Nothobranchius furzeri: one gene and its partner. The main gene of each other region encodes a partner of the protein of the gene in region 2 in a complex. Links are inferred from orthologs where the notes say so. Each region holds a gene or a part of one and is shown on either strand. Other genes may lie near its edges. The genes, in order: rgmb and bmp2b.

Region 1 (2,982 bases), on a different chromosome or scaffold from region 2:
GATTTCCACCCTACAAGATGTTCTCATCCTCATGAGTGCCTTCATAAAGATGGGTTGAATGTGGGTTTTCAGTACAGTTACATGAACTTGAAGATTTAGCTGTTAAAAATCCTCAGTGGCGCCTTTTTGAGTCTGTTCCCGGCCCAGGTGTCGCTGACTGTGGCAGTTGAAAACAGATTGTGTTTGTGAGGCCAAACCTGGTATCTGATCGAAGCCTAACCTCACACAGGTGTTTTAATGCTTCTATCTGTTGTGTGTGTGTGTGTGTGTGTGTGTGTGTGTGTGTGTGTGTGTGTGTGTGTGTGTGTGTGTGTGTGTGTGTGTGTGTGTGTCTTTAAACTTGTGTGTGGAAGTTCTGTTAGTACGAAATGATCCAGATCTTGTATTACAATAAAAAGAACTGAGAGATCTGGTCAATTTTACACCTTTTTTAAAAATCTTTTTGTTTGTTTTTGGCATTCTTGATTTGTCTATTATTTCATTACAAGTCTTAAATGTTAAAGTTAAGCATCATGAACCGTTTTGACTTTATTGTAATAAATAAAACACAAGCACACATTTTGTTTCCTTTTTGTTTGATTTTGAGCGCCTTTAGTAACACACCGACAAAGCAAGAGAGCACCACTAGGTGGCAGTACAATCACAGCTGACATTTCTTTTAAATAATTATCCAACAGCAAGAATATGGAGCTTAACTTCCTCTACGGGACACTACGTTTATAAATAAGTTAGTTATTTCAACACTGACCAGTCACTCTTCACCAAACTGACACTCACATGATGAAAAGAGATCACAATGTGAAAAACTTAAACTGATCTACATATGTTACATATTTATAGGGGTTGAATTTTCTACCAGGCATCAACGCTGCGCTTGCAAATTGTACAACAGCACAGTAAGGTGAAGTTTTCCCAGTCATCCGACATTTTTTTAAGAATTATTCCTGCATTGCTTTACATGCATCTTAATAAGAAACATCCGGAATAGGGAGAAAACAGATTACAAGTAGCTAATTTAAAACAAACAGGATACAGATGCTGGTTTGGTAGAGAGTTCCTGTACAGAGAAACATAAATGATCGGTCTTTGGCTCAAATTGTAACAGAAAAATACGGCGAGTACAAAACGTGATAGTGTAGTCACTTAAATTTGGCAAAACGATTGGAATACTTCTAATGTGACTCACGTAAAACGAAGCCACATTCTTCAGCTGCTTTCAAATAAAGAACCTGACAAGTCTAAACACTTTTACACACACACACACTTGAAACCATTTACTAACAAAGTACTGATGGCGTTTGCTGCAACGCCATAGCTAATACATTCAACAGAAAACCTCACATTGACTGAGTCCAGTCAGCTACTGGTAGAATGGTGCATTTAAACCAAAATGTCAGCTCCAACCATTCAAATGACTTTATCTTTAAGAAAAAGTGTGATGGAACAACGAGATACAGAGAAAATATGAACAGTTGTGAGTTTTGGTGGAGGACAGAAAGTGAAGAAGAAACACTGACTGGCATTGTGTGGAATAAAATGTTAAAATAAAGTGCTTTTGTTAAGAAAATCCTCTGTCTGAGGTACTTTTTTTTTTTAAAAATCACATCAAATGGCAAATCAAAAAACATCAACATCATTACAATGTGCACGGAAGAAATAAATGATCTATTTACAGTCGATTCATCCAAATAACAGCATTGGTTTTATTGTCGGCTGCATTTTCTGATTCTGGTTCTGACAGACAGTTTTCCTGTGCACACTGGGAGGGGGGCTCATCGCCTCTTTTAAACGACTTCCAGTTCCCAGTAAGTGTCCCGCCTGCTGCCTCCTCTCTGCATGAGAATGGCATCAGTATTCATTATCAGTGCTCAGCAAAAACAATCAAAAACAATGTCCTAAACTCTCTTCCTACTGCGCGCGCACACACACACACAAACATGGGCCTACATGCATTCAGGCACACATACTGGCTGACGCCACAACAGAGCTCAAAGCGCACAGCAGGAGCAGAGCGAAATGTTTGATAGACTGTGAATCAGAACGGAAGATGGATGTGGCAGAACCACGGGGGTAGATCCTCCACCGATCCTGGTGTGGATGGAGACTTTCCATGTCCTTCTGAGCGCTGTATGCAGCCACTGTGAAGTTAGCGTCCCCGGTGGTCAGGAGATCAAACACACAAGAGTGGAAATAAATGTCCAGCACCTCCAGCTGCTCTCTGCAACGCTCCTTCGCCCCTTCAACACCAAAAATCTGCGTGGCGCCATAGGGATGTGCTTGTGTCTGTGAGGAGAAACTGGGCTGACGCAACTGCTGTCGCTGTAGACCGAGTGCTGGAGGAGACAGCGGGAGGGGAAGATGTCCCGCCTGGTCGATGCGCTCGCTGCCGGGGCAGCCGTTCAGACACAGCTGAAGGTCCTGGGTGTCATCGTAGTCCTGAGCCAGCTCCTCAGGAATCCGCACCGCCAGCGTCAGGTAGCGTCCCAACTGGCGAACAATTATAGTTACGCCGATGTATCCAGCATGCAGCTCCACATGGCGCCCAGGACTGCGCTCAGAGATCCACAGAGCCCGGACCTTCCCAGCTGCACCATCTGCTCCAAGAGACTTGTGGATGGGGTCTCCACTGCTCACCGTCCCATCATCAAAGGCAGCAGGAAGGTTGTCTGTGACAGCCTGGTAGACCCTCTGATCTGTGCAGCCCTCATACGGCTTGAAGATGATGGTAATCTGCAAAAAGGAAGAAAAAAATTAGAACACTTGTTTTCTAAATATTTCATTGAAAATCTTGGGAGAATTTTAAAATAAATCACATTTTAGATTTAGCAGCGGTGCCTCATCACCCGGTGGAAGATCCAACACAGACAGGATGGGTAAAGGTAAAAGTCGCCCAGAGTTCGAGAAATTACTTAATGACTTTTTAACAAGTTGTAATTTGACACAGCTATGAAAACATGCTGACACAGGCAAGCTCATGCATGC
Region 2 (4,299 bases):
TACTCTTCTTTTTTTGTTTTTTATCAGCACCCAAATCCCCCTCTTTCCCCTCCGTCCTTTTAGAGATCCTCTTCTCTTGTCTTCTCTGTCACCGTTTTCTCAGTTCCTTTCTGCAACTGTTCTCGATCTCGGTCTGGAACTGCTGTGTGAACAAGTTTATGCTTGTCAAAAGCACGCGAACCACAGATTTCCACAGCTTTATTTTTGTGCCACTCGCCAAAACAAAAGATAGATGCTAATATTGGATCGGCCATCTCTGGCAGCTGCGTCCTGTGCTACGGTGGAAAGGCTCTATTTGACTCGAGTTATTCCTGAAAACCAATTGTCCGAGCGAAAGGAGCATGGCGTGGCAGACGTGACGAAGGCTTGGAGCTGTTTGCTTTGATGTGCTGCATTAACATCTGTAGATCCGTGCTTATTACAGGGGGAACAATCCCTCGACGCGATACGGGAAGCCTAATAACCGCGCGGCTGTTAGCATAGGACGAAAAGAGCCAGGAGAAGACGTGTAAATGTCAACGTGTGTTGGCTGAGTGCAGAGGTTTCCAGCGGTGAGCTGGGAGCAGTCACTCAACCCTGCTGCTCAGGGTTGTTTGTAGTGTGTCAGTGTAGCCACTTGGTGTCATTGCACTAGGCCTTTGGAGAGCACCCAAGCAACCACTCAACCACCCCTCTGACTCACCCCTGATGGAAAGAAACTTCTCCACTCAAACACAGGACTCTGTATGAGGACTCTGCGCAGGGCCCCAATGGACCCAGCAACGTGGGTCACATTAAGATAAATAGATGTGCAAATCTACTATACCGGGAATAAGATGTTTATTATACAAAAACGTAAACATCGAGTGCTCCTGCTTTTAAAGCTGTTATAAACAAAGCATCATTTACTTTGTTAAAATACTGTTTAAATCCACATTTTAACAGCTGATCCAGAGTCTGCAAAACGTTTATTTTCATCCGAGAGGTGAATGAGTCATGTTTAAATATAGGTTTTTAAATTCAACTGAACTGAGACTTGTAGTTCAACTATCGCTGTCTTCTCCAAACTGGTTCACGCGTAATGATGCACAACTGGAAGCAACAGGAAGAAGGGAAGCCACGCCTCCTCTACGGCGTTACCAAGAGCTAATTTGAGTCTTGTTAAAGGTGACTCAGTCTGACACGGTGACTTCGTCATCGTGTGTGTTGCTCTGATGTCGGTTGTTTTTTGAAGTTGCAGGGTGACGTCTATCACCTGCGCACAGGCGCACCGCCCTTTATGCTGCTCCCGTGGTGCGTGTCTGGAAAAACAGTTTTCAGAATCCCACGCAAACACCATCAATTATTAAGAAACTAATGACCCCGGGGATACCGCCGCCCCTGATGTTTCTGAAGCCTGTGACAGCTGTGCTGGAGGGATGTTTGTCTAAATGTTGCACTGCTGCTTAGGTGAGAAAAGTCAACTTTGATGTGATTTTTGTGCATCAATCTTTAAGTTAAAGCATTTTTTAAGGTTGCAAATACCTTCGGAGCATGTCATCTGTAAATGACTAAACCTTCAGAAAACAGGGAAGACTCTGAAGTTCAGTGTTGACGATCTGAGTCATGTTTAAATATAGGTTTGCGCTGTCTGAGAGAGACATGTAAAGGTATGTCACTAATATATACCTTCATGGTGAAAGCTTCTAATCGTGTTGGCCTTGCTGGCGGCTCTCTCTGCGTGCTTCCCCATGCTCTTGGGCCGCTTAGTGCTGTGGTCTCCGTTCGCAGAGTGCATCCGGTAAAGGTCCACCATGTACTGGGGCACCACGGCTTGTTTGCTGGGGGTCGGCCTGCGTCTCAGCCCGAACATGTTGAGAAGCCGCAGCTCGAACTCGTTGAGGAAGCTCTCCGACTGCTCAGGGGTCTGTTTCCCGGATTCGCTGTACTTCCTCCGGCCTACCTCGGGGATGAGTCCCGCAGCACCTTCCAGCAGCACCTGAGCGAGCATCAGTACCATGAGAGAGCGGACCACGGCGACCATGATCAGTCAGTCCCTGTGGAGAAAGTTGGTTTCTGTCAATACACTGGCAGGCAATGTGGTATTGACGTGAGGTGGTCCCAGCTAGGCTCTCGCGGCAGCAGTTCCCAAATCCCCCCTCAGAGCGTAAAACTGAAGGGGAGCAGGTTAAAAAGGGGGAGACACCTCTTCACTTTGAAGTGCAGAAGAAAAAGAAAGAAAGAAAGAAAGAAAGAAAGAAAGAAAGAAAGAAAGAAAGAAAGAAAGAAAAACCCAGAGGCTAAACTGCTCCTCTAGTTTGGGTTGAACATGAACCCTAACATGAAATATCAAGGTGAAAAACTAATGACAGAGGTGGATTAAACAGACAAATCAAAGGATTTGAAGGGAAACGCTGCAGACAAAAGGTCTCCAGCGAGAAGAGATAAGAGATCTTGTTGCAGATATGAAAGTCCATGCAGAGAGAAGGATCAAAGGAAGAACACGCATCAGTTCCAGTCCCACTGCGCGCTGTTTGCATGTAATCATAAAGGATAGTTACTTCAAGAGGCTTGCAGGTGTTAGATCTGACGTGTGCCCCACAGCCAGGCATCAGAAACACAGACGGAGTCAAACAACTTCCACACAGACAACTTTTACCTCTATTTTCATTTTCTGTTTCTCCGTGGCTCAACAGGCGGAGGCTTTACGCACGAATTTATTATTAGAAACAAATGAGCTGTCACTTGTGAAGTGACCTTTCTGTGTTCAGTCCAAGTGCGGATTCAGGTTAAAACCTCCACATCGATGGTTATTCTTTATTCTAGCGATTTACCTGACGAGAACGCGCGGTGTCCGGTCGTCGTTCCACCTTTAAGCTCCGATAAATTCCACATTAATTCGTGTTTAATCCACGCTGCTTCTGCTTGGGGGACCGAAAACAGCCCGCGCCCTCCGCCGATCGCTTCTCGCACATATTCTCACCAGCTGCGCGTCGGGTTCGGGTCTTGCTCAGTCCGGAGAGGAAAGAAAAAAAGTAGAAAAATTAAGTCTACGAGGAAGCGGCTGCGCGCAGGCATAGCCGAACTAAGTGCGAGGAAGCTTGTCTGGACATTTTTAAAATTAGAAAAAAGAAAAGCTGAAAGTGGAGAAACGTGGAGCGTCGCGCGATGTTCGTGGAGAGATGAGCGCAGTGAAGTTGGTGCTCGGAGAGGGAGAGCTCTCCGGAGCGGGTCTATTGATTGGTGCCTTCTCTTTCCCCTGCGACGCTTTTTGTCCTACAGTGATGTCACTGGGCTGTCAGTCATCTGTCCAAACCGCACCACTTCCTGTGCGTAACTCCCGCAGGAGAAAAATCCCTCATTTCTAACTTCACAATGGAAAACTGTTTAAACTTTATTCCTCTCCCCTTCAGCAAACATCTACAAATGTGATTTGGATTAAAATCTGTAACAGGACCACCAAGAACAGGTGGAAGAGCTGGCAGGAGTTTATGAGCTGAGTTTATTACTACAATTTTTAACCAAGTATTTCCCCTCAGAATGTGTACTCAGCATATTTGAAGAAAAAAAAGTACTTTTTGTTTGCTTCTTTTGACAAACAAGTACTTTTGTTTGTTTGTTTTGCCAAAATAGATTCAGTGCATTTGAGATTCAAAAGGTTGCCAATGATCAAAATGCAAAATGTAGTGAGAAAAATGAACTATGTGGGACATTTGCAGTTATTAACAGTTTTTTCCTTTTAGCAAACACAACACGTTATTAAGGAATTACTTAAATCAACCAAATAGAAAGAATAAACAGGCTTCATCATATAATTTTACATTAACCCTTTGATGCATAATGGTCACTATACAGTGGACAGGTATTCAAAATTGTTATTTGTTTATTTTACAGCTGTTGAAGACTTTATTGCAATTGAGCTCCTTCATTTGGACTTCAGTAAGTCAAGCCAACATATTTCGTGTTCAGAATGCACGCTGTCCCCTGAGATGGACATGTAATAAATTATTTGTAAATTAACAAAATACTACAAATAATATTTGCTGAAATTTGTTTCATTCACACCTACAGATGAATGAAAAAAAAGTTTAAAAAATCATGGTTGAAGATTTCATAATTCATGCATCAAAGGGTTAATTTGTAATAAATATGACGAAACCAATTCCTTTCAACCTCTTAATTTCCTGTTATATGAACAAAATATCATTTTTTATCACTTTTAAAGGACAGTTGTGTTAATTAACTATCAAGTTTCTAAATGATCAAACTTGAGGTTTGTTGCCACGGATAAGAAAAAAAATCAATTCATTTGAAAAATGTAAACCCTAAACTGCTTTTAAC

The links.
Region 1: the proteins of bmp2b (region 2) and rgmb are in contact, whole or in part, in a crystal structure (PDB 4UI2), measured with the Homo sapiens proteins. The link is inferred for Nothobranchius furzeri from reciprocal best matches to the Homo sapiens genes BMP2 and RGMB. Residues at the interface, in NP_001191.1 of Homo sapiens: Val308, Gly309, Trp310, Trp313, Met371, Tyr373, Leu374, Asp375, Glu376, Tyr385, Met388; in NP_001353437.1 of Homo sapiens: Lys97, Arg100, Gly101, Leu103, His106, Ser107, Leu110.

The regions. Positions count from the first base shown.
Region 1 is NC_091757.1:44,843,526-44,846,507, forward strand, and holds the end of rgmb (repulsive guidance molecule B), read right to left. Parts: intron 2,731-2,982; coding exon 1,954-2,730; 3' UTR 516-1,953; downstream 1-515. UniProt on the Homo sapiens protein: Member of the repulsive guidance molecule (RGM) family that contributes to the patterning of the developing nervous system. Acts as a bone morphogenetic protein (BMP) coreceptor that potentiates BMP signaling. Promotes neuronal adhesion.
Region 2 is NC_091742.1:22,692,951-22,697,249, forward strand, and holds the start of bmp2b (bone morphogenetic protein 2b), read right to left. Parts: upstream 2,971-4,299; 5' UTR 2,793-2,970; intron 2,016-2,792; 5' UTR 2,003-2,015; coding exon 1,648-2,002; intron 1-1,647. UniProt on the Homo sapiens protein: Growth factor of the TGF-beta superfamily that plays essential roles in many developmental processes, including cardiogenesis, neurogenesis, and osteogenesis. Induces cartilage and bone formation.